Notamacropus eugenii: one gene and its partners. The protein of the gene in region 3 interacts with the protein of the main gene of each other region in a pairwise test. Links are inferred from orthologs where the notes say so. Each region holds a gene or a part of one and is shown on either strand. Other genes may lie near its edges.

Region 1 (7,308 bases), on a different chromosome or scaffold from region 3:
GGAGTCTCAGAGCAGTTCCCCATAATTTACTTGCTTGTACATAGTTGCTCGCATAATGTTGTCCCTAATAGATTATGAGCTCCTAGAGGGCAAAGATTGTCTTTTGCTTTTCTTTGCGGCCCCAGGGTTTAATAGAACATCTGGCACTTAGTAGGTGCTTAATAAATGTTTATTGACTAAGTTACTCCAGGTCACGAAGTTAGTAAGAGGTGGAGCCAGAGCTCAAAGCAAGGCTTTCTGGTTCCCAGATTCAGTATTCTTTCCATTATTGCATGCTACTTTAGAATTAGAAGGCATATCTTGAAGGAGTTGTTTTAGATCAATTCAGTGGGAATACTACAATACACAACAGGCAAAAAACAAAAAATGCATGTTTTATTAGGCTGAGTTTTTACTGATGAAAAATAGAAATGTGTTTGATAACAATGCTCTTTTAAATTTTATAGTAATTTACAGTTTTGAAGTAGTCTGGAAAAATTTTATGTAATGTTATGAATGGGTTACTAAAGGGGAGTTTGGGGGTAGAATGCTAAATGTGTGCTGCGATGTTATGAAAGTCAACTAATATAAATGTGACATTTATGATGTAATAAGATTTGTGCCTTGTTTACACATATTATCTCATCTGACCCCACAACAGCCTTTAAGCTAGTAATTATTGTTCCTATTTCATAGATGAAGAAACTGTGGCTAAGAGGTTAAATGACTAGTTAGAGTCACAGAATAAATGCCTTTCAGGTTTTCCTGATTCTAAGTCCAGCATTCTATGCACTCCACGGTGGCTTCTCTTTATAACATCCCTTTGTCCATTCCAAGAGAGATAACGGCTGGTCTGAGCTAGGAAGCCATTTCCTGTAATTTTGTAAACTGTCTTCAGCGAATGGTTTCAAGTCCATCTTTTGGTAGTCCTTCATTAGATTACACTGTCCCCTCCTTTAATGCTGATTTCAGGAATTTCTAATGGCATTAAAACAAAAAACTGAGAGTCACTTTTCCATTCAGCTTTCTCATTTTGGTCCATTTCCATTTTAAGAACCTCTTGTAGAAACAAATGTGAAAGTTTAGGAATCATTTTCTCTTCAACAGTCAGCTTGTTGACAATTCTAAATGTGACATCTCTGGGTCTTAAATAACCTTCTTGAGATGCTAGCATCTAGAGAACTTTAATTATATGTTTCCCCCAAATGAGAGTTGGGTCAAGCACTTGGTCCACCAAAATGAATACCAAATAACTCAATAATTAACTGTCTAGGATGTGGAGGTGGATAAACATTTGACTCAGCAGCCAGTTTAAGATATATAGCACTGACAGAGGTACTTTTAAAAAATAATTTCAGGGTTAGGGAATTTTGATAATAGAAGTGGCTGGTAACAGCACTTTTAACTTTGTGGTGATGAGACTCAGTTTTTGACCACACAATTATTAACTGTAAAAGCAAAAAACAAAACAAAAAAGCCTTCAGCAAAGGTGTATCAAACCTTATCTAGGGCAAAAATAACTTTTTTCCCCTCCTGAAATGGCAACTTCCAAATCACTATTACAGCTCTCTGCATTCTTTGCCCGGAGGCCCTCTTTTCCTTCAGGGGAAAGGAGGAAGAATCCGGGAAGTAGGAAAGCAATCTGAGACGGGTGGGCAGAAGGCAGAACTGGAGCGGTCACTCACTACTTGTGCACCCCCGGGAAAGTAATTTAACTCTCTCCCCGCTCCTATTTTTGTGATTGTTGTTTCTCCATCAGTAAAACGAGGAGGCTGAGCTTCCTTATGATCCTGCACCTAAAATCCCAGAAAAGACACATCCTGGAGGCTCCTCCCCCAAAGTTGGTTGCTCACCAAAGAGGCTCCTCCCCCAAATTTAGTTTCTGACCCAGGGTGCTCCTCCCTCAAAGTTTAGTTTCTTATTTCTGACACCATACAAAAGTCCTCCAGAGAACCCAAACCCATAGACTGGTAAAAGTAACTGTGATGGCCAAAACGCAACCCAAAAGAGTGTTACTGAAAAGTCCAGAGACCTCTGAATCGTCTCTGAAGCTGAGTGCAAGCTCTCTCCTCCTCTTCCCTTCCTTCATGTCCTCGGTTCCCTGACAAGAGTTCCAGCAACAGTATTCTACCCTCAAGGAGACTTTGGCAGAGATCCCAGAGAGGTCAGCGGACACAGCCTTCCTCCAGTGCGGAAGAAAACTGTAAGATACCGCTACACAAATGTCCAGGAACGAACATTTCATACCTGGAAGACGCAAGACGCACATAAAACAAGTTTCTTGATGCCAAACAAAGCCCAAAAGAGTCTAAGCTGAGGAAATGGAGGTGGAAAGACTTGCTAATTTGCAATGCCATACATACACGCCCCCAAATCAATCCACCCAACCGAAACCGATTGAACGGGTAGGAGCTCAAGTGGGGAGCTACTTCAGAACCGGAAGGGAAGAACCAAGAGAGGGTTCCCTAACAGCTCGGGGAGGGGAGGTGGCATTTCCTCCTCCTTTCTCCACCCGCTCTAAGGCAAACAGCTGCCAAATATGCGCCTCCGCCTCCTGCCCTCCCCGGGTTCACAGCGCCATTCCCAGGGCACACGTGGCTGCAGAAAGCTCAGCCTTTAAGACTCTGGCTAGCTCCTACAAGTCAGTTTGACTTGAGGGTTTGTGTTGCAGCAGGGACGACTGGAATAGAAAGCAGGAAAGAAAACTAATGCCACTGGCACCAAGGGCCCTGCTTCAAGGGGGCCACCAAACTCACCTGCATCACTGAATTTGCTGCTGCTGCCGCCAGCACCATCTTCTCCAGCTGCAGCCCCCTCAATCCCAAGAGAAGCCATTCCGCTGGGAGAGTGGGGGAGAGAAATGAGGAGGTGGGGTCTAGTTCCAATGAGAACCTAGGACTCAGTTTACACCTCACCTCACCCCACCCCCAACTTCAGCCTTTCCTCCACTCCCCAACGTAGCCACCAACAGCTCTTATTCAGCAGAACCGAACAAGGGAGAATGGGAGGGACCTCCATAAGCCCCACCCCAATCGCTAGGGTGTCCTGTCCCTTCTCTGGAGTGAGGTGGAAAACTACACTTCCCACCATGCATCGGGGAGTGCAGAGGAGGGAGGAGGGAAGAGGGGGGGAGTGGAGTGGAGGAAAGCAGTGGGGGCGGTGCGCCCGAGAGTGCCCCGGCGTGTTCGCTTAGTTCAGTGAATCAGAACAATGCCTGCGCGTCTGAATCCCCGGGAGCGCGTCTGAGGAAGCTGCGGAGAGGTGCAGCAGCGGCCCCAGCTCCAGCAGCCCGAGCAGCCTTAGCATCAGTCGGAGCACAGCCCGCGCACTGTCAGCGCTTGGGCAGGCTCCAGTCCTGACCCTTCTCCCTCTTGCCCAAGGACTGAGAGCGCTGAGCTGCCTTTAGCCCTTTCGCTGCTGCTGCTACTCTGGCTTCTGGTTTATTGTTTTGAGCTCCTGAGAGGAGGTGTGAGAGAGGGACAACAGAATCTTCCTTCAGCCATGTGGATACCTACAGAGCACGAGAAATACGGCGTAGGTGAGTCTTTCTCCGGGCGAACTTTTATTCTCTCTCCTGGGCTTGCAATTTTCCTCTTTCTCTTCTTTTCTGCTCTTGTTATTTGCCCCCTATATTTAGGTGAGGCTGGAAATGGATAGTTGGGGCATAATATAGTCCCCCGTTTGTTTCCCTCTTTTGCCTTGATACGGTGCTGTGCTATGCAGATCATCTCAAAGCGGAGAGAGATACACACATCCTTGCCCCCCCCAACTCGCTGGATTGGGGGCTCGCGCCCGCCCCAACGAAACCCTACGCACCCACCCCCTTCTCTACCACCCTCCGCTTTCAGATCCGCTGGCTAGCGATCAGCCGCCGATGCAAAGGGAACGGATCCCTTAGTTCTGCGTTGCCGACTCTCATCTCCGTCTTTGGAGTTTGGAAGTGGAGATGGGTGCATGTGTGTGTCAAGTTGCAAGGGAAAGGGCGAGCCCCTTTCCTAGTCTTCCCCTTCGTCCCTTCCCCCCCAAACCCCGGGATTTGAAACGACAATCAGCTGCAGAGATTTCCCGGGAGGAGGGTTGGGGACAGAGAAGAGAGGAAGGGGAGGGGGAAAAAACCCGAAACCAACAAAACCAGAAAGGGAAGGCAAACCCTTCCTTCTGGCTCGCATGAACATCCCCAGAGTGCAAAATGTGCAATAATCTACAAAGGACAATTCTGACAGGAGACTGAGCCCGTTCTATTTCCTTCCCCAACGCCCTTCTCCTCTCCACCCCCCCCCCCCCGCACATTTTTGTTTGTATTTTGTATTAAGTGTTTTTGAGGGTTGGGGGAGTTTCTCTGTGAATTTCCGTTGAATTGCTCCCTTTCCTTGTCATTTGAAAAGGAACGAGGACTTGGTTATGTTTCCACTTCTGGCTACTGCGTCCGGTCCGATCCTGGGGTCACTGCGGGGAGCCGGGCGTGGGGTGGGGTTTTTTTGGTGGGGGGTCAGTTGGAAAGTGCATTTTCAGTTCTGGGGAGTGAGCTAGGGATAGCCGTGGGTCAGACGGAGGCAGGAGGGTACGTTTTAAGGAAAGACCTGTCTGACTTTGGCGTTTTGAGAAAAAGGAAAACAGTGTAACACTCGCTCCTCTGTGCAAAGGTGAACAACAAAGGACATTAATGTTGACTGATGAACGCTGGATTCTCCCTTCCTCTCCCTCCTCCCATTTAATACGGACTAGAGTTCCCGTTCTTGTTTGAATTAAACTGGGTTCTTCCCTTCTCCCCATCCCCCTCCCCTCTTTCTGGGTTTTCAGGATTTGCCTTAAAAAAAAGAAAAGAAAGAAATGGGGCTTTCAGTGAAGGTCCTGAAACACGAACGGGCTAACCACGGCCCTAAAGGTCTCTCTGAGATCAGAACATTTATAGAATTTATCTATTATCCCCTTATTTCTTATCTGCCATCTACTGCCGCTAGGCAGTGCTTTTGAAAAGGGCAAATCTCTGTAGATGTGGATACTGTGGAAAATCTGCTTTCTTCCCATCTCATTCGTTTCCTGCAATTAAAAAAGGAAGATCAAAGTGCTGTTTGTGGGAGTCATTTTCACAGGGGACCCTCTCTCCCCAATTTTGCCTGGAGGAGAGACCGTGGAGTCCTCTGAACTGACTTCGTGAAGTGATTAAACAAAGTCAGCTCATCTTTTGCTTGACCTACTAAAAGCCTTCGTTCTGTGTTGAGTGGTTAGCAAGACAATAGTTTCTTCTAGATGTGTTTGGAGTATGTTTGACAGCCATTCTTTCCAGCTTCCTTCTTTTCCTTGGTCGCTTTTATATTTTTTCCATATTTAGGTAGAAGCCTAAAGAGTTTGTCTTTGTTTCTGAGCTTGAGGAAGAGGGTATCATCTCAGTATCATCTCATTGCACCGGGTTTAACAATTAGTGCAAGAAGCCAAGACCCATTCAGGGCAACCCCGTCCCATTTGGAGTTGATCCCAGATGTTGCTTTCTTCCAAGTGTTAAATTATAGAGATTATCGATGGGATTCATTTTCTTTTATTTTTCTATGTGCCAGGTCACAGCTGGGTTGCTAGTATCGATTAGCTCCCCTAGTCTCTTTTCTTTACTGCTGTGGGCAGGGTCTGATAAACCACTCTAGGGTTTGCTGGAGTAGCAAACAGGATATTATCAGTGAAGTATTTCAAGCTGCAGCAAAATCACTCAGATTTGTGTGGTGGTAGTTGTGATTTGGAGGCCACTTATCTGAGTGGGAAAAGGTGGCAAAGGAAGGGGGAGAGTGGAAAGATGAGTATTTCTTGCCAGAATTATTGCTTCCCTTTGTCATTTATACTGCAAACCTTTGAGGGCTAATAATATTTTTTTTTATTATTTTTCAAGCATTTGGCTTGTGGTTGCTTAGTTGTTCACCATCCATCTGTTAGAATTTTTTGGAGTACTGAGAAAAATTTGCTAGGATACTCCTGCATGCGGAGCTTCTTTCTTCACCATGGAGAGAACTATTTGTGGCTGTTAGTGCTTCAAGGCTTCTTCTCCTCCTCCTCCCTTTTACCCTTGATATAAATGTGTGTGTTTTCTGTAGTTCTTATGAATACCAGGGAAGAGTATTTTGTGGTTATCAAAGATTTGCAATTCTTGGTTCAGTTCAGTTTCATCAGTAATTGAAATAAATTGATCCTTTCCAACCTGAAGTGTTCAGATACCTCTGAAAATCTACCACTTTTACTGTGGGACTTTTTAAAAAATCTGTAGTGATCCGTGTGTGTCCACAGAGAAAATATTTGTGTCTTTAATATATCTGTGTTAACATTTCACAAATATAATGCATATTCTTCATTTTCTTTTATAATAAATAGTATATGTATACATGTACATGTGTGTATATGTAGATGTACATATATGTATGTGTGTGTATATATATTACATATATATATTTCAAAGTGGTTTGAAAATGTAAATTCTCTCACCTGGGCAATAGAATAGCCTATAGTGTTTAAGTGATAACCCACCTTTATGTCAAAACCATCTATGTTTTGTCATGGGCCTGAATTGTCTAAAATTGGAAAATTATGAAAGATAAGAATCAAACTAAATTTCTGAGCATAATATAACTCTTTTCTTTTTAGTGTGATTAAAAAAAGTTGTTCATGATGAAATGAGGATTTTTTTTTTAAGTTGAACAATTCTGGTTATTGACTCCATCAATTAGCAGAGTAGAAAAGAGGCATTGGACTCAAATGCCAGAGACCAGGGTTCCAGTTCTGAATTTACCATTGACTTGCTTTGTGTCTTTAGGCACAAGTCAGTAACTTTGTTGGGCCTCAGTCTCTTTACCTGTAAAATGAAGGAGTCAGACTACGTGATGATTTACATTCCCATAAGCGGTAGCTTTACAGTTTTAAAGCTACTAATCACATGTACCCTTTAGAAAGAAGAGCAAAGCTTGCTGTGTGGTATATACTTTTTCCATGGCATGCCAAAAATGATTTTTAAACAAGATGAAGAGCTAAGCAAAAGCCACCCGGTTTCTTGGAGGGACTGCTAGGATCCAGGTGGCAGTTGCTCACTTTCACAGTCTGTCTGATCCTTTCAAGAGGAGTTCCTCTGATGGTGAGTAAAGCAGATTCCCCCCGCCCCCAAAATGTTTTCTGATTTCCTGCAGACTGAATAATTTTACAAAGATAAAGAGGTCACCTTCCTTCTCTGTGTAAGTGGGGATTGCCCACAGAAATAGTTCAGAGCATTGAAGGCGTAACTGCTCCAAGATTCCTTCAGCAGATAGTTGTGTGGTGCCTACAATGAAGAGACATTCTGGCATGCAGCATAGAAAA
Region 2 (7,469 bases), on a different chromosome or scaffold from region 3:
ACCTGTTTCTCTGAATGGTTGTGGATGATATGGCCACCCAATCAACTATGAAAGAGAAGAATTCATGCTCAGCTGATGCCAACTGACTGGAATGAAAATGGAATTGCCTTTAGATTGCTTACAGAGAGGCAGTGGAGTCCAGTGGATGGAAGAATGGACAGGAGACTCCATGGTTATTACACCATATATTAAATGCCAATCTCTTCAACATTCCAAGCCCCCAGAATGGTAAAAATTTGAAAATGTGTTAATAGTTAAGGTGAGGAGAGAAGGGAAAGGAAGGGAAGGCTAGTTAATAACTGGATGCAAAAAAAAAAAATCTTTCACACTTATTAAATGTCTACTAAGTCCAAGGCAGCCTGGCTTAATGGACAGAGTCAGGAAGGCCTGGGTTCAGGTTGGACAACCTTGGACACATGGGTATTAGTTGTATGACCCTGTGCAAGAAATTTAACCTTTCAGTGCCCCCAGGCAAACCTCTAGGTACCCCTTTGCCTTAAAAGAAAGAGTTTCATAGCTAGGAATTCTTTATGCCAAGGAAATCCTAAGTCTGACAAGAAAAAAAAATTAAAAGCCTGAGGCATTATACATTAGATGGGGATTCAGAATGGAATGGAAAAACTGCCCCTGCCTTCCAGAAGCTTACTTCTAATGAATCGACCCAGCTCAAGCCAGCTCAGAAGGCAATTTTATCTATCTGCGACATGGAGAAGTTGCCACAAATGACCAATCTCCTGTAAGTATGGAGTTAAATATCTTAGAAGAAAGCAGTCTACATTTTCAGATGTGAAGCAAACGCAAGTATTAAGATGGCCTGAGATAAGATAGCCTTGGACAGGATGAGATCTTATCCCGCCCTCTATCTCACAGAGTTCTTACTGTAATTGGTGTTATAATAGCTCATTATCCACAGTCAGAGTTCTGTTCAGTGAGAATTTCAAGGCAATGACTAAGGGGGAGCACCCCCAAATGAATACTTGAAATGCTCCCAGAGTGTTTTCAGGCTTCTACGCAGCAAGTGGCCAATGATGGCTGCTGGCCCCTTTTCTAACGCAGAACCCCAGCTTGAATTTCTTAGATGATTTCTTGAGATTTTCTATTTGTTTGTTTTTAAAATTCTGATCGACAACACCCCGGTGTTGACTGGTCATTCCACAATTGACTTGGACTGAAGTGTCCTTGGAATGGGGGGGGGGGGGGGGGGAAGAATGACCCAGAATATGGAGTTAGTAAGTCAACAACATTTATGGGATAGCAGAGGTGTCAGGTTTTCAACGCCCAAAGTTCCAAAGAGCAAATATCTAATATTTATCCTTGAGGAAACTGATCCCTTCCAATTTATCGGCTAATAAAAGGGCTAGTGAATGAAGAGCTTACTGACCTCAGCCGCATTCAGTATCCACTGACAAACCTAGAGTATTCTGCTATGCAGCCTTTCCTCAAGGTCTCTTGCACACAGCAGGGGCTTAATACATGTTTATGGAGTTAAACTGACCATGACAAGGAAAAAAACCAACTACAGGGTATTTTTGTGCCAAGATGTACTTTGAGATTTTTTTATGAGTCCACAACTCACTAAATGCATCAAGATTTGCCCCCATCTATCCGACCCCTCCAGGGGAATTTATTTAAAGAAAATGATCACAAAGCTCTCTACTTTGGAACTCAGGTCTTGACCTTCCAAACCGCACTGTGATATTTATTCTTCAATTCTATTAGGAGCCCTTCCAGGGTTTTATGAGACTGGCCATGCCCTCTATCTCAGGGTAAGGCCCAGGTAAACAATGTGGAGGAAAATTGAAGGGGGAAATACTACAGGCAGGAAAGTCCAATGATTTCAAACAGCTCCGAGAAATGAAAACGGAAAACAAAAGCCTTCAGAAAGCACAAGTGGATCTCTATTAACTGACCCCTTCAGTGAGGTGTAAGGAATCCTCTCACCAGACTAGCCTGCGTGGGCTTCAAGGGAGGAAAGAAGTCCCCACACCTGGCAGCGAATACATGTTAACATGAGTTTAAGGGAAAGGGTTTTTTCCCCTTCCCACATATCCCCAATGCCGCTTTCTTCCCTCTCCCCAGTCCCCCCACAAGCCCAGCGTTGAAAGCAGGAGCCTTGAAGCCACCCCTGCCTCTCCTGGCACCGCTGGCCTCTCGGTGCCTTTAGACGTCAGACAGCCGGGGAGCCTCCAGCAGCGCAGAGAGCCCACAAGGGCAGCCCAGAGACATTTCTAGCCCCATTCATTCCTCCCAGACCCCCCCTATTCTGCGGCCGGGGAAGGCAGAAGCGAGCTTTGGGACCCTATCGGAATGACACGAGGGAGAAGAAGGAGAGGGGCGGGAGAGGGGCCGGAGCCCCCCCGCTCCCGGAGCCTTCTCGCCCCCTTCCACCTGCAGCCCCAACCCGGCCGAGCTCAGACAAAGTTTGCCCGGCACTCCTCGCTCCGGGAACCAGGACAAGTTGAGCATCGGTCCGTTCTCTACCTTCGGCTGGGCTCGGGCTGAGCCCGGCGGGGCAGTGAGACCCCGGCCAGGACCCCAGCCTCTGCCCCTTTCACCCCACCCAGCCCAGGCATATCTATCCATTCCGCAGGGGGTTCCCATCTCCCCAGGGACGGGGTCACTCAAGCGCCTGGGACCCCCTAGCCCTCCCCCTGGAGGGGTGCCCCGCGCGGCGGGCGATCGCCAGCAACCCCTCTGGCATCAAGCCCTCCCTCCCATCCCCGCGGGGTACAGGAGGTCCTGGGCGCAGCGCCTCCACCCAAGCCCGGCTCGGAGGCTGGACGATGGAGCGGCCACTTACTCGGACGGGTCCAGGCTCTTCCTCTCGATGGCCGAGGACATTGGCGAAGGGGGGGGCGCGCTGCTGGGGTGGGGGTGGGGGCTCCTTTGTCGCGCAGGGCCAGGCAGGCGGCTCGGCACCCCTGGGTCCTGGTCCTCCTCCTCCTGCCCTCCTCGGGCAGCGCGGCTGCTCACCGGCCGGCTCTGCCCTCCGCCCTCAATGACATTCACGGGCTCCCTCGCAGAGCCAGCGGCAGAGCCAAGGCGGGCGAATCCCCAGGGTGGGGGGCCGGGGAGGTCAGCGGGGTGCGGGCCCGGGGATGGGCTGGGATGGGACCTGCCTGGCCGCCGGCCCCCGCGCAGCTCCGCTCTCCTGGCTCCGGCACTCAGCCCTCCATCCCGGGGAGCCTCGCCTGCGCCTGTCCCTGCCGGCCCGGCTGCGGCTGCGGCTGCGGTGCGGCAGGCTCGGCTCGGGGTCCCCCTGCCCTGGCTGCGGCTCCGGCTCCGGCTCCGGTCCGTCCCCGCCGCGAACCTGCGCCCCGGAGTCCCCGCACACCTTGGGCTCGGGCTTTCAGAGCGCGCGTGTGTGATGGGGCGGGCAGGAGGCGGCCGGGGAGGGAGGGGAGAGGAGGAGGAGGGGGCGGGTCCGGGGGCGTGCAGGTCTCCCCCCGTTCTCGCTGAAATGTCTATTTTTTGCTCAGCCTCCCTCTGTCTCTGGTTTCATTTCCTTTTTCCTGATCACGATTCAAATACAATAGAAGGAAATCACATTTAAAGAGACAGCTGCCCGTTTTATTTCTTTTCTTTTCCTTTTTCCCTTTAAAAAAAAAAAAACTGGGCTCCTGGGGGATTAACAACCCAAACAGCAGCGACCTCACGACTGACCTGGCTTCTTAAAGGGGGCAATGCCAGGGCTGGGGGGCTGGCTGGGCGCTGCACTGCCCACCCCTCAGGGGCCGAGGTGGCCTGAACCACCTCAAAACCATCCTTTGGGAATCACCCCTACCCATCTTCCTTTCTCTTAACTAAGGCTGAAAGTAAACAGGCTTGCCCCAGAGAAAAACATTTTGGATGACAAAGGGCAGAAGCAGGACCACTTTTCGAATCACAGGTGTAGAGCTGGGAGGGACCTCAGGGCTACTCTGGTCCAATCCCTTCATTTTATAGAGAGATGGAGCGATTTCTCTCAAAGCCACAAATTAAGTAATAGAGATGGAATCCCAAACCCACCGTGGCAGATCAACTGAGACACTGAGAGATATAATGGAAAGAGCCCGGGCTGTGGAGCCAGAAGTCTTGGCAAGGACAACAAATGTGCAAAGGTGTGGAGGTGGGAGAATTCAGAAAGCCTTAGATCCTAGTTTGGAGTGACAAACATGTCAAACAATCCAGAAGTCTGAAATAGATGAAAATATAATTGGGAGATGTTTAACCAAACAAAAATACAATATGACCTAGATAATGTAAATTTGTGGTTTCCTAAGTCAATGTGTGATCTGCAGGAATCTGTTCTTATGGATAGGACAGTAGGCTGGGTCTGCAAGACTTGGGACCAAATTCTGCCTTTGATGCTTTCTGCATGTGTTACCTTGGGCAAGTGTATTAATTTCCCTGGGCTCCACTTTCCTCTACTGCAAAGTGGCGGGGCTTGGATTTCAGCTGAAGATTTATGATCCTCTGTAAACTATAAAGCCTCCTAAGTGGTCTCTTCATCTAATCTCTTCCTTCTCTGATCCATCTCCCATAATAATTTTTCTAAAGCACAAATCTGACTATGTTACTCCTCACCTCAAGAACTTTAAATGGTCCAATTCATTTTACAGATGAGGAAACTGAGGCAAACAGGGTGGAGTGACTTTCACAGTGTCTGAGGTCAAATTTGAACTCAGGTCTTCCTGACTCCAGGTCTGGCACTCTATCCAGTGGACCAGGCAGGTAGAATGTGAGCCCCTTCAGGGCTGGGGCCTTACAGATGAGGAAACTGAGGCCCAGAGCCAGGATTTGAACTCAGGTCTAAATCCCATGTTTTCCCTATTGAACCACATCCATTTGTGAGCAGAAAAGAAATTCCTGAAGGAACTTGCTATTCCTTTAAAAAATAAGGTTTTTGTCTTGTACCATCAAAGCCTAGTAAGATACTTTGAGCAAAGCAGGAACTTCACAAGTGCTTGCCCTGGATCAAGGAGCTGGAAGATTGCTAAAATCCCCCTTCAAAGAGTCGGTAGATGGTCGCTCTCCTTTTCCTGGGTCTTGAAGCATCCTGTGAGGAAGCTACATTTTAATTTTTTTCAGTCAGAGACAATGTTTATTAAAACACTATTGGGGTGGATGAAATTTTAAGAATCCTTGAATTTGTAATGCTTGTATTGACAAGCAGGGCATGATTTAAGAATCTGAGTCAGGAAGCTACATTTAAACAATAACCTTATATCAATGTGAACTGGTACCATGGTACCCCAAGAGACTGGAGTGACAATGCTGGGCACTGGAAAGAGCATTGGTTTGGGAGTTGGAAGCTCTGGTTTCAAATTCTGCCTCTGGCCCTTACCATCTGCGTTTCAGTTTCGGTCTCAGTTTCCTCATTTGCCAAAGGAGGTTGTTGGACGAATTGGCCCCTGGCACTTTTGGATCTAGGATCCACAGCATTATTTCTAGGCACATAGCTTGCCTGTAAGGAGTATAGGTCACAGGAAGGGCATGGGTTGACCTTAGGAATGGAAGGAAGGTTTGTCCAGATATTGGGGACAGGCCAGGTTAGGCACCCCTAACCTGGGGTTGCAGTGCTAGAGATCCCAGTTCAGCAGAGGTGGGGGGAGAAGGGAGACATTTCAGAGCCTGTGCAGGGCTTTCTCCCCTGCTTGAAAATGCTGAACCGATCTAGTGGTTAAACCTGTTCACTTATAAATAGCCAGTAAATAACTGCAAATACACTGCCCTGCATTAATGATAAGTAACAGCAGGAAGATTCTTTTGCCCTTCCCTCCAGGCATCCAGAAGGAGCCAAATGAGATGTTCTGATTTTCGAGCTATTTTATATTCACCTCCAAAGGTAGAAATAGGAAGGGTGGGAGGAAGGGGCTCATATTTACCAACTACTCCATTTCCACAAAACTCACATTAAACAACCTCATTAAAAAGCACTTATAAACTTTTAAAAAAAGTATTTCTTAAGGGCCCTGGGACAGTGGGGCTTAGAGAGAGCACTGGATCTGCAATAGAATGAGGGCAGTGCTATGCACTAACCCAGTGACCTTGGACCAGGAGCTCCTCATCCCTCATCCCTCATGTGGAAAATGGTCTGGATGATCTCTATAGCTCCTTCCAACTCTGATTTCATGCTTCCTGACTTGGGAGCATAGAGTGATAGACAGAATTAGAGCTGGAAGGGACCTCGAATGCTAACCTGGCCAATTCCATCCATTTACAGATGAGGAAACTGAGGCCCAGAGCCAGGATTTGAACCTAGGTGGTCTTATTTTAAATCCCATGTTATCCCTATCGCACCACATCCATTTGCTACCAGAAAAGAAATTCAGGGAAGAACTTGCTATTCCTCTAAAAAATAATTCTACTGATATCTTTTGTTTTTATATTGCTTTTATTACCTTCTCTTCCCACCCGCAGTGAACCAGCCCTTAATCCAGAGAATTTTTTTAAAAAGATAAAAAAAATCATTACGTGGTACACAGCTTTTTGGTACATATTTTTTTGCTTGCCAACCTTCCTCCATTAGATTATAAGCTCCTTGAGGGCAGGCATTGTCTTTTGCCTCCTTTTCTATCTCCAGCACTTAGCATGGTGCCTGGTACACAGTAGGTGCTTAATAAATTCGTACTGAGAGGAATCAAATGCTTGTTCCTTCAGGGCTGTAAGTCCAGAGACCAGTCCCCACGACCACGTCAAGATTAATCCCTGGACTACGATGCATATATTTTTATCCCTCCTATGATTCTCCGGCCTTCTTACTCTAAGAACTGGGTCCCTGACAATATGAACTAAATGTATTTTCCTGGAGTCAGGAGGCTGCTAAAGGAGCCACTCTATATCCACAGCCTTCACTATATATTTTTAAGTTATTAATATAAGAGACGTTCTCATGCTCAGACACTTCCTTTTAATGGGAAAAGCCTCCCAGACTTTCTCAGGCAGCCTGAATTATGTGATAAATATTTAATGTCACACATAATCACTGTACAATCAGGAAGGAGAGTAAAGAAGGGATAAAATTCATGGGGGTCCAGGTCCTAACTGTTTTATAATTCTGAGAATCGGAGAGATCAGAAAGTCAGTGAGGATGAAAATGAAGGCTTTCACAATTTCCTTAAGAAAATAAATCCTTTTTTTAAAAAAACATGAACAAGCTAAGAATTTTTTAAAGAATTTTATAATAACATATTAATGTTTATTATCTCTGAGAGCAAAGAGTATGTTTGCATTTCTTTGCTTTAATTAAGTCTGATAACAAGCCAGTTATTGTCTTACATGCTCTAATTCTGAATTGGGGCAAGAATCAGTCACAAAAATAAATAGATCTTTGGATTCCAGAATGTAAAATCTTCCAGATGGGAACACCATAGCCAACTTTTTTTTTTCTCACAAAGTTTCTTTTTACCAGTATGCTTTCTGCTGTTGGCTAAGTGTGCAATGAGTGAGAGAGAGAGAGAGAGAGAGAGAGAGAGAGAGAGAGAGAG
Region 3 (7,207 bases):
AAAGGTCTGAGTTCGGGGGGCTTCAGATGGGCCCCCCTCTGTCTTGACTTTGACGATGACCTTACCAGCCCCACCCCCGCTAGGGCCTGCTCCCCCATCCCCTGTCACCAGCAATGTACTAGGGAAAGCAGACAGAACCAGGGGGCTACCCGGTGGGAATGGTGAAGAAATGGGAGTTTGAGGTGGTGGCTCCCAGAGAGGCTTGTCTGATGGTCCTGGAGGGGGTGGGGGTAATGGAAGTGAAGTACAGGGTGGGACAGGGCCAGGCTTCGGGGTCATTTCAGGTCCAGACAATGAAGGAGCTGTTGAGAAAAAGGAGGGATTGGAGCAGGAAATGAGGCAGCTAGAGGCCTCAACATCTGGGGACCCTTTGGACCCTGATACATTGCAGAGCTGGTCCCCTAATTCATAGGGTAAACATCTTTACCAGTCCAATAAAAAAAAATGTCTACAATATCACTGACAACTTCTTTAAGGATATTCTTAGAAGTCTACCTCCACTGTGTGGTGTCCCAAGACATAGAACAGGGTTGACATGCAGGAGATAACAACTCAAAGTATGTCCCCAACTAGGAGGTTGAGCATCTGATGGGAGAATCTAGAATCTGGCCCTTCCCTAGGCTCCTTTGGTGTTCCTAAATTAGAGATCAATTGAGAGAGGTTCCTGGCCCTGTTTCTTCATTCCTCCCCTTTTTCATCTCCTTGCTCCTTTTTTTAAGTCCCCTATTCCTCTTCTCATCTAAAAGTACAATAAAAAAAGTTCTATAGCCATAACCAATTTATCCCTAAAACTCTCATTCCAATTAACAACTCATTCATTTCTGCTTATAGAAGTAAAATCAGAGACATTCCCCCTACTCCCAGCCATCTCTAGCCACTTAATAATCTTCCTTCTAGAATCTTCTTAAGGTAAGGAGGGGAAGCCCATACAGATTCCTAGAGATTCTCCACTCCAGAGGAGTAAAAACTAGTCAAAAGGAGGTAGTAGTAGACTAGGTGGATAAAAATGACAGGTTTTCTTACGCTTCAGAGAGCTAGCAGATAGACCCCGTGAAGTGTGGCAGTTGCTCCTAACACTGATTCTGATTCTCTCTATCGTTTACCTAGGTTATTCCTTCAGTAATGGAAAGGACAAGGGCTTTCAAATTAACAAGTAATTATTGAGCACTTCCGAGGCACAAGGCACTGGGAATACAAGAAAATATAACACCACATATAATACATAAGATGCCTTCTAAGGAGATGCCTCCATTTAATAATAACAAGAATTTAACAATCCACCTTATCCCACAAACGACGTGAAACTCACACACAGTTTACCTCCCTGACCATAAAATAAGATCATGGAGTCATGGATGATGGTAGACAAGCTCATCACTCTGATGACAAGCAGGGAAGGGTCAGGACATGCTAGCCATAACAGAAAGAGGGAGGGAACAAGATGAAATGGGTTAGAGGGCCTAGGATCCTAGGATAGATGAAACAACTCAGAGTAAATCAGTACTGCCTATGTTCCAGCTGTGGTTGAATAACTATGTATTAACCACCTCCCCAATACTCCCCAACCTTCAGCCCCTGATAAATGCAAGAAACAAGTTCCAGAAGTTCCCTGGGCAAACAAAAACAGAGGTTTCTAGGTGTCAAGGAAACTGAGGTATTCAACCCTAGGGCAGTTATTGTATTCTATATTAATCTATGGGGAAAGGGGGGAGGGGGTATTGTTTTGAGGTTCTCCCCAAGCCTCCTAGTCTCTTGGTAGGTTCAGGGCATGCCTCTGCAAAAGAGGACCACTCTGGCCAAATTTCTGTCAAAAGTCTTTTCCATCCAATTCCCTCTGTCCTCTCTGATTGAATATATCCCTGCTGAAATATCAATTTCTAAAGCAAAAACTTGGGAAAACAGGGTCTCTGCCAGAAAGAAGGACGTAAGTGTTAGACCTAATTCTACTAAGTCCTTTTGTCCTTCTTTAAGGTGGCTAATGCCTAGTGACTGGAGGCTTCTTGCCTATTTAAGTCAATCTGCTAGTGGGTCTTCTCTCTCAACTCAGAGCTCCCTGGCTCAGTTCCTCCAAGGCATCCCAAATCAGCTCTGAAGAGGCTGGCTCTGTGAACCCCAAGGCTCCAAACTGGTTCCCCAACCTCCCCGGGTCTGTTGCCTGAGCATGGGATGGATTCATTGGTCTGTCTTCCTCTTGGGTCCCACAGTGCAGGTCACAAAGGTGATCCCCAGGGCTACAGTCCCAAATTTCTTTCCCTGGGGCTCGAGGGGATAGGGGGCACGGATCTTTGTGAGAGGCCCCCAGCTCCGCTCACCTCCATCTGGGACTGGACCCTCTGGCTTGGGCACTAATCGGGGCTGCCTAGCAGCCTCCAGGATGGCACAAGGGTCAGGGCCAGGGCCCAGAAGGCCACCTGGTCACAGTAGCTGCCCAAGAATTGAGGGCAGCAGAAGGGAAAAGATTGAATCAAAACAGAACTGGAACCTGGAAACCCGTGCATTCTACGCAGTGGGGGAAGGGAGGGAAGAGTGAGGGCCAGGCCAGGGGGCCGAGGAATGTTCTAGGGAAGAGGGGGAGGAGAGCTCGGCGGGGAGGATCTGAATTCAGAACCCAACTCAGGCGACGACCCTGAATGGGCAAGCCACTCAACGTGGCCGGCCCCAGTTCCACGTCTGGGCCACGAGGCTGGGCGGGTCCTCGCCAGCTCTCCACGTGCGTGGTGGGGGCGGAGGGGCACCTTCCAGCCTCGTCCCCCCCGCGGCTCCCAGGTGAGTGGGCGGTGCAGGTCCCCATCTCCCACCTCCGAGCGCAGCGCCCCTCCCCGTGCACCTGGCCGGGCCGCCTCTGCACCCCCGGAGGGTGCGGCGCAGGCCTGGGCGCCCCGGCCCTCGTGCCTCTACTTACCCCCTGGGCGAAGGGGAGCCAGGGCCTGAGCTGGCCTGCGCCTCCATGTTCTCAGCCGCACAAGATGGAGGGCAGGGCCTGGCCGCGGCCTGGGCACCCTCGGCGCCTGGATTTCCTCGCCCCTCTAAGGCTCTGGGCGCTACTTTTCTTCCATGGGACTACTTATTGCAGTTTGCATGCAGGGGAGGGATATTCAAGTTCTGGGTTCAAAAACAGCGGCCTCTCCATCCCTGAATGGGCTGTGGCTAATGGCCTCCCCTGGCATTCGAAGCCCACTCCCTTCCCAACTTCCAGCATAGGGATGCGCTCCCTAGTGCAATCCCAGGGCGAGGACTCCCCCTTCAGGAGGGCAGGAGGAGAAGAGGAGGGGACTACACCTCCCAGCATGCCGCGGGGGCTCTACTTCCCGGAAGTGTCCCTGGAACAAACACGTGGTCGGGGGGTGGGTCCGCGCTCCCGGGCCAAGGCGGAGGTGGAAGCCTGCTTGTGGCCGAGTCTTCCCGTGGCCTGCCCGCCTCGCGAAGGGAATTGGCCGCCATGTTTCTGCAGTATTACCTCAACGAGCAAGGGGATCGGGTCTACACCCTAAAGGTACGGAGAGGAGGCGCACTTGGGGGGTGGAGACGCAGGAGGGAGCTCCGTTCCCGCCCTGCGCGGCCGAGCTGGGCAGCGGCCTGTGTAGACGCTCTTACCGGCGGCTCCGTCGGGCCTCGTTATTGTTTTAACGAAGAAGGAGCCGAGGCCGAGGGAGGGGAGCGGCCGGCCCGGGTCACTGCCTTGTACCGAGAGGGTCGTGTAGGGAGAAGAGGAGGAGGACGGAGGCCGAGGCGGGCAGCCTTCGTTGTGCCCGGACCCTGTGCTTGGCGCCGGCATAGAGTGTAAAAAGAAGAGCCCCCCCCCTCCAGCGGGGACCCCCCGTGGTGATTCCGGGGGGCGCTGCCGGGGGACTCGGGGCTGTTGGGTGGGGTTTGCGCTTGGAAGGAGCTCGCTCCCCACGCCCAGCCCTAAATCCCGCGGAATTCAGCGTGTATCCCAGACCTTGTCGTCTGAGTATCTCACCTCACAGTCAGCAGACTTCATGAAGACCTACTATGCACAAGGCTGTGGGAAACAGAAGGAAGGAAAAGGTTGTCCCTGCATACCCTCGGCACCCACAGCCTAGGGACCTAATCGTCCTTAGCCCAGGTCTGGTCTGTTGGTCAGGGTAATGCTGGGGCTGGGGCGAGGGGATGGATGAGGAGAAATAAACAGCTTCGTCCTCCCTGCCTGTCCGAGTCTTTTCGACCTTTTCTCTGGTTCTGCTCCAAAATAATCAGTAAACCTACTGTGCTAAACACTGGGGATAGAGTAAGCTGTACCCTCAAAGAGCTTACGATGTGGTGAGGGAGACAACGTAGACAAATATATGTGTGTGTGTGTATATTTATAATGTGTGTATATATATATATATGGCAAGCTATGTACAGGATAAATAGGAGATAACAAGGAGGAAGGCACTGCAAGTAAGAGGGGCTGAGGAAGATTTTCTGTAGAAAGTAGAATTTCAGTTGGGACTTCAGTAGGTAGTGTTCCACCCATGGGGCATACCAGAGAAAATTCCTGGAGCCAAGAGATAAGAGTGCCAAGTTTGTCAAATAGCCTGGAGGTCAGTATCACTGGATCAAAGAATATGTGGTGGGGGGAGTAAGGTATAAGAAGACTGGAATGATAGGTAGTGGCTAGGTTATAAAGAGTTTTGAATGCCAAAAATGCGTTTTGTATTTGATACTGGAGGCAATAGGGCTACACTGAAGTTTGAGTAGGTGGGTGATGTGATCAAACCTGTACTTTAGGAAAATCACTTCATAGCTGTAATAGGGGCCTGTACTAGACTGGTGGCAGTGTTGGATGTGAGAATTCACATTCGGTTCTCTTTGTTCTCCTAACAGAAAACAGACCCTGCAGGACAACAGACCTGTTCAGCGCACCCAGCCAGATTCTCCCCAGATGACAAGTACTCCAGACACCGTATCACCATCAAGAAGAGATTCAAGGTTCTCATGACCCAGCAAGCACGATTGGTCCTCTGAATTACCAAACCACCCAGGACTCTGGCACAAGAAGCTTGTCCTACATCTAGGAGACCTCATTCAGGAAGAGCTTACATCTTTGACTCTCTTAACCCATTGTCACAAGTTTAAAATGACGCCCTTTGTACACTTGCTTCTTAGAATCTAGCTGCAGTTTGCCTGTGTTCCTCTCTGTACTTGGTAGCAATCAAGCTAAAATGAAAGTCTAAAGTTGCCATATCTTTTTAATCAATGTTGTAGGCTATTAAAACTGAAATGGTTTAGAGATCTATTTTTCCTTTTTAATTGGGGGCAGAAAAGTCTTTGAATTGATCAGAGGAAGCCAGGTGGCTTAGTGGATAGAGTACTAGGTCTGGAGTCAGGATGATCTGAATATATTTGTAAAAAGGTATTTAACACAGCACCTGGCATGAAGTAGCTATAGAAATGCTTATTCCCTTTTCTGATCAAAAAATAATATCCATTTTTATTATTGTTTTAGAATACTAGCATGTTTGCATTGGAATTCAAAAGTCCTCATTTTCTTCAGTAAAAATTAATCAAATTGGACTAGATGGTCTAGTTTCTTTTATCTCTAAATTCTTAAGTCCTGTGGATAGTCTTGAATTCCTTCCCCTCTATAGTGACACTGATATTCAACATAGCACACACAGCAGTGCCCATGAGAGATGTCTTCTGAATGGACTGAGTGACCAAAGAGGTTATCTTTGTCCTAAGGAAAACCTTTTGTACACCTTAAGGCACCAGGCATGTGTGGGCTATTATTCTCTGGAGTCTCACAGTTTCTCCTAATTTCTGAACAGATTAATTTTAACCAAAGAATCCTCTGAAGCTCAGATCAATTTAAGAGAATAGCCACACATTGTGACAAATGTTTTCAGGTTGAGGGTTGAACAAGTAGAAAGATTAAAAAATTAAGTTTTAATATTCTGATCAATCCATGTCTGACGGTAAACAACAAAGATTTACCTTAGGGCTTTGTGGTAGAACCCCAAAATTCTTGACTTTATTTCCCTCTCTCCCTTTGCATGTAGGGAAACCCACAAGTGCAAATGTCTTTTGGGAGGTGTTAACCTAAAGAAAACTTAAGCACAGGGAGTACAAGGAAACCTCCAGGAGCAGTAGAGTCATACTTTGAAAAACCTAATTCTTTGTCTGTTTTTCTGATGGGGTATGGTCTAAAGTCTTTTTTATTAAACCAGGAGATCTTCCTCTCACTGTTTGTAGACCTCAAGACAACCCACTGTCACAGTCAAAGCATTAGATGGTTCTTTTGAGGAAGACGATGAGGTTAACAAGTTGACCTAGTCTTGCAGACTGTGTCTTCGCATTTACGTCTTATAGACAAAAGGATAACCTTGTTGCTTTTCTGCACTTAGTGAAGAATATTTGAGTCACTCCCCAACAGAAAATATGAAGACACAAGTTTTTTGACTATCCTTATTTATCCAAATTCTTGAATTGAATGGTTTTGCCTCCTGCCAACCCTTTGTTAATCTCCCAGTTCCTCAAAAAGTACCCAACCTTGAAAGTGTATGTAGGTGAGAGTGATGACTAATACTTACTGAACAATAGGAGGTTACTAGGTAGCTCAGTGGATAGAGTCCTGTGCCTAGAATCAGGAAGATTTGAATTCAAATACAGCTTCAGACACTTCCTAGCTGTGTAACCCCTGGGCAAGTCACTTAATCTGTCTTAATCCGCTAGATAAAGACATGTCAAACCACTCCAGTATCTTTGCCAAGAAAACTCCATGGGTAGTATAGGAATGCTATATGGGGTCACAAGGGGTTGAATGTGACTGAAACACTGAACAACAACTAAAACATGATTGATGTTTGAATTAGATCTCTGAAGTGAGAACTAGGAAGGGAAGAAATAATTCAGGTAAGAGTGCTGATGAGATAGATTCCTATAGGGAGCAATGGGCGGCTAATAAGTGAAGAAACAAGTGTTGATAGTACTAGTGGGCATGAGGGAGGAGGTACTTAGAACTCATTGGTAACCTTCAAATATTAAGATGATGGATATGCCAGCACAATAAAATTAGGCTGAATGTACTGAGGTGATGTTTATCAGGTCTCCAATGGTATCTGGTCACATACCATCTGAAAGACCCAAACTGCTCAGGAAATCAGTAAGCACATATTAGGCTCCTTGTATATGCTAGGCACTGTGCTAAGCATTAGGGATAAAAAGGAGGAGGGGGTAAAGGCAATATGATGGGAAGCATGCT
Region 4 (7,151 bases), on a different chromosome or scaffold from region 3:
CTGGCAAAAAGAAAAGGCACTGGATTTTCCAACTATATTAGCGATCTGCAATTCTTGAATAGGTTTCAAACAAGTATGGAATGGAAAAAAATCTGAAAATGTAGTTTTTAGTAGTTTCTTTCTAAAAACACAAATATAAATGAATTGTATATCTGTGTAAATTCTACGTAGATTACTTAAGGTAAATTTGTTGCTCATATCAGGGCAGGCTGTGTAACAAAAGCTTCAGTTACAGGAATGAGGCTAATAGGGCTCCAGAAATAGTTTATGAAACACTTAAAAATGTAAGTGGGGTGGGGGAGGTGAGAGGTGAGACTTCCAGCTGGGCTGGACTTCCCCAAGTGAGGGAATACCTTCAGGTACCCTGTGGTGATTAAGGCCACTTATAACAATATCATGTGCACATTCCATTCACCAGCCTTTTAATAGTATATGGTGTCACGTCCAGAGAACAAGTTACTCTAACACAGAATTCTAAGACAGAACTGGGGGGGGGGGGGGGGGGGGGGGAAGTGGGGGAAGGGAAGTGAGGGAGTGAAGGAATGAAAATAAGAATTTTATTTTTATCATCTGTTCTTTATAGATCATATCGAAGCAACATAATGACTTCCTAGGGGCCATACTGGTCTTCTTCCTACGTTGCTTAAATCAAGCAAGTCACATTGTCCAAAAGAAACCCAGAAAACCCAGACTCTACGTGATCTGACTTACTTATTTCATAGGAAACTGCATGAAAGAAAAATCAATCATTCATGCTACCACAGTTAGCATGTAGTACCCCAGTTACAACACCAAATGGACTGAAGTAGTTCACTGTGCAAAAAAAATCAAGTTGAGGTAAGTCAACAGCATCAAGGGAAAAGGGGTGGGGGTGGGAAAGCCTATACAGAAAGAAACCGTGGGCTAGTGCATTTCTTGTCCCCTGGCTTCTGTGGTCGGGGACAGGGGGTAGAGGGAGGAGAGAGATAAGAGCACAAGTTGGTAGTCCAAATGGATTGGTTGCAGCCAACTTACCGGGGTTATTGGCTTCTCCTTCAAGAATGTGAAGCTCAGTGCAGTCCGCCAGGGAATGCTCCAGGCAGATCTGAAGAAAGCGAGCCTGGGTCCTGCTCACCCGCTTTAACAGGGACAGCAAAGCAACAGTCTGCTCGCATTCATTCCAGCCTTTAAACCAACCTGCCAGCACTCCGACCTGATCTCGAAACATCATGATTAGGGGGGAAGCCTCAGTGGGAGAGAGGGGGGAAACGAATACAAATCCCCCTCCCACCCTGCCCCCACCCCAAAGTTTACTGGAGTTGCAAGCTCAGCGGTCACCAGAATAACGTCCTTTTAGAAAAAAATCGCCTTTGGTGCATGGATTTGTGCAGATTATGTTGCCTTCTTCTTTCAGTTACGTTTCAGTGATTCTTGCTGATTTCCTCAACGAAGATGACGGTAGCATAGGAATTTTTTTTAATATGGAAAAAATCTCCACAAGGCACACAACTGTAAGAGCTCTTTTTTTTCCTCTCGCACAGCCAGGGGTTTCAGACGTTTCCAGCTCTTTTTTCCTTCGGGCAACAGGTCAGACCCTTCTTCACACCCGAATTCCCAGGTTCACAACTGGAAAGAGAGAAATTGGCTGCGCTTAGACACCGGCGGAGATAAGGGGAACGGCATGATTCAGCAGCAGGGTAGCCTCCCGCTTCACAACGTATTTTAGGAGATTTCAGGTCAATAATCTGAGTAGTGTATGGGGGGAGGGGACGGGGGAAAGATGTGTAGAAGAGTAGAGTATTAAAAATAACAGCCGTCCTCCTCGCATGCACCACTGAGAGAGGCAGATAACGAGGTTTCCAGGGGAGAGATTTAAAGAAACCTCCCTCCTAAGGTGCAGGAGGAGACCCCAGCAGTTTCCTGTGGCTGCTGCTGCGGCTGCGGCTACTGCCTCCTCCTGCTGCATACGGGTCTCTCTTCCCTGAGGACTTTAGGCACTGTACCTGATACCGCTAACTGCAACAGATCATTCAAGCAAAGAAAACTTACAATACGCCGAGGGGGAGGGGGCCCTCAAGAATCCAGGTTCCTTCCTTCCTTCCTTCTTTTTCCTCCTCCTCCTGTCGGAGAAGCAGCCTAGCGGCTGCCGCTCCATCTACACCAAGCAGCATCTCCAACCACCAGACTCCCCTTTGAATCTAGGCCTTGAGCAGCAGCAGCGAAAGACAAAAATAAACTCTTCCCACCCAAGCCTTAACACACAACCTGCAGGAGCAAAGAGCCTCCAGACTTCCCTTCCTCCTCCGACTCCCCTCCCCTCTTCTGTCTTCCCTTTACAAAAAGCCTGGTATGATATTAAAATAAAAATAAAAGCATTTTAACACCCTTTTCCCCCCCTCCTTCTCGCGGCAGGGTGGGTCAGTCTGGCACAGAGGCTGTCCACATCCCCCCCACTGGCACCCCCGAAACGACTTCCCGTCTAAAGACCCCGGCGGCTGCTTGGCAGCCCAAGCCCGGAATGGTTTCATTAGCAGACTAGGGAGCTTCGCGGAGAATGCGGTTCCGCGCTGCCAGCACACGCCCCCAAACGTTGATCGCAAAGAAAAAAAAGTTAGGTTCCTGTGGCTTTCCCGTCCTACCCCCCCACCTTCCCTCCCTCTCCCTCCTCATCTTCCCCAGGTTTCAGGGATTGGATCTAGAAGTGGGAAGAGATGTGCCCAGACTCTAGACCCAACTCTCAGAGCGATTCAGGCTTCAAGCATCCCCATACCTCACCCACCCTCTCTCAGCCTGGCTTTCCAAACTTCCCAAGCAGAAGAGGAAACCCTGGGCTGGGGAGAGGCCAAGAGAACCCGCTCCCGGCCCCCAGAAGTGTGTGGGGCTGCAGGGGAAGGGTCACTCACCTCGGCCCCGCTCATCGCTGCGGGCTGGCGCCCCCGCACCGCGGGTTCCAGGGCAGGCGGCAGTTCTCAGAGGAGTGGGGAACCCACAGGCCCGCGGACGTGGGCCATCCCGGAGGCCAGGTCCGGGGGCGCGTTCCCCGAAGGCTGGGGGGATCGGCGGCGGGGGTGGTGGTGGTGGTTGCGGCAGTGTCTCGGCTGCCGCCGCTGCAGCCACTGATGCCGCCTCCTGTGTCAGCTCAGTGAGGACTGGGGCCGACCGAGACCGAGTCGAGCTCCCCACATGCTACTGATTAACATACACCATTACATCATGGCTTTGGCAGCAAGAGCCAAAGTGGGGGGAGAGCAACCCCGCGGGGAGGGAAAAGGAGGAGGAGGTGCGGGGTGGGGGGGAGTCCTAACTGAAGGAGGGGGGTGGAGGAGGAGGATCCCTAAGTGTGGCTAGGGGAGGAGCTCGATGGGAAAGAGGGGTCAGGTTGGAGGAACTGAGGAGCAAAGGGAAAGAAGTTTGGCGGAGTCGAGGGGGAAGGGGGTGGGGCTGGGCAAATTCCTTTCCCCGGCCTCCTCCGAAATTCTGGATGGGCTGGGTTACAGGGACCACGGAGCCAAGGAGAGAGGCAAAGATTGAGAGAATGTGTGTGTGTGTGTGTGTGTGTGTGTGTGTGTGTGTGTGTGTGTGTGTCTGTGTGTGTGTGTGTGTGTCTGTGTGTGTGTGTGTGTGTGTGTCTGTGTCTGTGTGTCTGTGTGTGTATGAGAGAGAGAATGAGGATGAGAATGAGAATCCGGGGTCTCATTTCTGCAACCCCTTGTACACCTCACCACACCCGTAGCTCAGAATTTCATTCTCCAAAGTGAGTTTTAAAAAACGTGTAGCCAGAGGGTGCTTTTCCTTAACTCTTCAGCCTGAGAGAATGGAGAGGAGGGAAGGGGAAAGGGGGAAGAGGAGGAGGAAAAGGGGGCTGAGAAAGACACTTCTTGGAGCTAGAGGGAGGATCTGGGATTGGAGAGTGGCTGGGTAAGAGCGAAGAGAAAAGAAAACTTGACGGGGTTGTGCTGTCTGGAGAATACTTGTCCTCCCTGCGGGCTACACGCTGTGAAGTATAGCTAGGCGCGAACACACAGAGCAGGCTGTGTATATACTCATGCAGTATGTGTACTTATCCACCAGAGATGAGAGCAAGGACTGAGTTTTCTCCAGATCTTGCTGTATAAACAGACGGTTAGGGAATTGGGGCTTTTAAAAAGTCCTTTACACTTAGGACAGAAACTTTTCTGCTGCGGTGGCAGAGACTTATTCCTGGCCATTGCCAGAACGTTGTTTGTATTTTTAGGCAGGGCATTCGCCTTCCACCGTCCTAGTCCCATGGTTGCTGAGTTAACTCTTCGGCTAGAACTGGGGAGTTTGTCCAGGGGTTAAACTTCACCTACTTCTGCTGATCCTCTCCACTGGTGACGTTGGTCGTGGGAAGGTACAGTGGTGTTCATTCAGATGGAGGGAAATGGTGAGGTTGACAGAGATAAGGGCATGAAACCCTAGGTGCTACAGTGCCTAGAGGGATTCCACCCCTCTGCGGTCCCCTACCCCCCCACCAGCTCACCAAAGTGGTTCCCTCAGTTCCCTGATTCTCAAGGCTTGGGCCTGATTTGAATAATAGAAAGGGTTTTTGCTTTTTTGTTTTGTTTTGTTCTATTTTGAGCTTTGGGGAGGAAGAGAAGGAGCAAAGAAAATATAGGACAACTGCTTGAAGTGGATGGTTAATTGACAACGGAGAACACAGAAGGGCAAAATTCTTGTTTTGTTAGGTTTTCTCTGCTAAGGGGTTTGAACCGAAAATGCAGGGGTAGAAAATGGATAACAGAGAGTTGGTACCCAGAGAGAATGCGTACTCACTGTTAGTAAATTCAAGTTACCTGGCCCAAATGAGCTATTCTACACTAATAATGGTTGTATTATAAAGGTCACAGAAAATGAGAAAGGGGAAAATGTATGGCTGAACCAGAGAACAGAAGAGCTTGACTTTGGGGAGATTCTAGAATAAAAGGATCATTAAAGAAATAGTAAATATCTCCAAAAAGAAAATAGTGGTTACAAAACACAACAGCAACAGAGCTTCATCAAGAGCACATCATCCCAGATTAACCTTATTTCACTTTATGAAGAGGTTAATAATAAAATAGATAACAAAATTGTAACAAAATATCTGATAATGTATCTCCTACTATTCTTATGGAAAATATGGAGAGGCCAGACCTTAATAAATTAGATGGATTCAGAACTGGTCAATAGCGAGACCCCAAAAGTAGTCACTGGTGTTAAATGCAGCTAGGTGGTGGAGTGGATAAAGCACCAGTGCAGGAGTCAGGAGTACCTGAGTTCAAATCTCACCTCAGACACTTGACACTCACTAGCTGTGTGACCTTGGGCAAGTCACTTAACCCCAAATGCCTCATCCTGGTTCATCTCCAATCATCCTGATGAATATCTGGTCACTGGATTCAGATGGCTCTGGAGGAGAAGTGAGGCTGGGGACCTGCACAGCCCTCCCTCACTCAAAACAAAGTGAAGTGGAAGTCATGTCATCATTTCTCTGATGGCATGATCTTCTTCGACAACAAAGGGTGAACCCACAGGGTGGTAGGAGGTCTCCAGCGAAGCATCCCAAGATCTGTTCTTAGCCCTCTTTGACTTTTTTTAAATCAGTGACTTAAAGATGTAAGTGGCATGCTCATCAAATTGACCAATGACACAGAACTAGAAGGAATAGCTAACAATGACAGGATGACAAAAGTTCTTGAAAGGTAGAACATTGAGCTGAATCTAAGAGTATGAAATTAAGTAAAGATAAAGTCTTAACTCAAAAAATCAGTTTTGCAGGTACAAGATGGGAAATAGTAATGGTAAGAATGCAGTTTGTCTGTAAAAAAGATTTGAAGGTTTAACCCTGTTCTTCATTAAAATACATTTATTTCCAGGAATAAGGAGGTGATAGTCCCACTATACTTTTTCCTGATCAGACTTTAAAGTTGAAGGACATTCATAAGTGGGCCATTTATCCAAGAGGAGGATCCAAGAATGATGAAGGGTCTCAAAGTAATGACATATGAGCTTTGGTTAAAGCAACTGAAGATGTTTAATTTGGAGAAGAAAAGACTCTAGGGAGGATATGATCATTAAGTCAAACAAATATTTGAAAGTACACAAAAGAAGTATTAGATTCATTCTGCTTGGCCGCACAGGGGGAATTAGAAGTAACAAGTGGAAGGTGAAAAAAACAAACAAACATATTTTAGGCTTGGTGTCATGACAAACTTCCTAATCATTAGAAACATCCCAAAGTGGAATGGGATGTTTTGTGGGTGATGGGTTTTTCCTGACTGGAGACAGAGGCTGCCACTAGAGCCGGCAGAAGTGAGGGTGAGTGGGTGGGTAGGTGGGGGGAGAGAAAGAGACAGAGACAGACAGAGACAGAGACTGACTGACTGACTGTCTACCAGAGAAGTCTCTACATAGAGACAGTAGGTGGCACTAATAAGCAAGGCATACCCCAGGCAGTGGAGGGGGGGGTTAATGGTGACAGGTGTCTCCATTTCAGGACAAGGAAGGAGAGGAGTGACTTTAGTTTCCTCCTTCCTCAGGGGACATTGCATTCTTTTTAAACTCAGCCTAGCAAGAATGACTGTCAGTAGTTCAAAAATGAAAATGAAGTTAGCCAGGCTTTGCTCCTCTTAGCAGCCAGCTCTCACCTGGTCATGATTTGTTTCTAGGAGTAGCTGAATCCTAAATTTATATGCCAGGCTTGTACAGTCTAGTCTCACTCTTCCATCTTGATCCTGATAATCACGTCTTTTCCCCTCTAAAACAAGGAATATTCTTTCCCTTAGCTTCTCTATATTTGTATTTAAATAATATAAACGTTGTTGCTTTACATTTCTGCTGGCCAACAGGATTTTATAGTAGGTAAGTTACGTAAAATGGAAGATAGCAGATAAAGAACATTCAGGCTAAAATACTTGACAGATAGAAAAGGACTATGTAGCTTTGCTAGGAAGTAATAGACACCTCATTGATCTGGTCCCATCGGGCCACTTCTTACTACCCTGGAGCTGCAGATCTCTGTTTTGGCTGCTCCTTCTGGGGCCTGACAGAATCAGTCCAGATCTTCTGATAGGTTATCGTGGCTTATTTTTAGCATATTTTTCACTTCCATCTTAGCTCTCTCGTTGCTCTTTTCTTCTACTACTCCTTTTCAATAAGCAAGGGTGGAACAA

The links.
Region 1: the proteins of NUTM1 (region 3) and ZNF277 interact in a two-hybrid assay, tested with the Homo sapiens proteins (2 studies listed by BioGRID). The two-hybrid records come from large-scale screens. The link is inferred for Notamacropus eugenii from reciprocal best matches to the Homo sapiens genes NUTM1 and ZNF277.
Region 2: the proteins of NUTM1 (region 3) and LMO2 interact in binary tests that used the Homo sapiens proteins (3 or more experiments, as listed by UniProt). The two-hybrid records come from large-scale screens. The link is inferred for Notamacropus eugenii from reciprocal best matches to the Homo sapiens genes NUTM1 and LMO2.
Region 4: the proteins of NUTM1 (region 3) and SAMD4A interact in binary tests that used the Homo sapiens proteins (3 or more experiments, as listed by UniProt). The two-hybrid records come from large-scale screens. The link is inferred for Notamacropus eugenii from reciprocal best matches to the Homo sapiens genes NUTM1 and SAMD4A.

The regions. Positions count from the first base shown.
Region 1 is NC_092874.1:141,837,221-141,844,528, forward strand, and holds the start of ZNF277 (zinc finger protein 277), read right to left. Parts: upstream 3,007-7,308; 5' UTR 2,815-3,006; coding exon 2,736-2,814; intron 1-2,735. Other genes in the region: DOCK4 (dedicator of cytokinesis protein 4), read left to right, coding at 3,481-3,517. UniProt on the Homo sapiens protein: Probable transcription factor. Involved in modulation of cellular senescence; represses transcription of the tumor suppressor gene INK4A/ARF, perhaps acting via the Polycomb group (PcG) complex PRC1.
Region 2 is NC_092877.1:17,525,306-17,532,774, reverse strand, and holds the start of LMO2 (rhombotin-2), read right to left. Parts: upstream 3,023-7,469; 5' UTR 2,842-3,022; coding exon 2,801-2,841; intron 1-2,800. UniProt on the Homo sapiens protein: Acts with TAL1/SCL to regulate red blood cell development. Also acts with LDB1 to maintain erythroid precursors in an immature state.
Region 3 is NC_092878.1:17,208,240-17,215,446, forward strand, and holds the start of NUTM1 (NUT family member 1), read right to left. Parts: upstream 3,015-7,207; 5' UTR 2,903-3,014; intron 2,683-2,902; exon of another isoform or gene 2,313-2,682; intron 303-2,312; 5' UTR 280-302; coding exon 1-279. Other genes in the region: NOP10 (H/ACA ribonucleoprotein complex subunit 3), read left to right, coding at 3,440-3,493, 4,831-4,971. UniProt on the Homo sapiens protein: Plays a role in the regulation of proliferation. Regulates TERT expression by modulating SP1 binding to TERT promoter binding sites.
Region 4 is NC_092872.1:333,739,982-333,747,132, forward strand, and holds the start of SAMD4A (protein Smaug homolog 1), read right to left. Parts: upstream 3,021-7,151; 5' UTR 2,883-3,020; intron 2,512-2,882; exon of another isoform or gene 2,245-2,511; intron 1,606-2,244; 5' UTR 1,211-1,605; coding exon 1,015-1,210; intron 1-1,014. UniProt on the Homo sapiens protein: Acts as a translational repressor of SRE-containing messengers.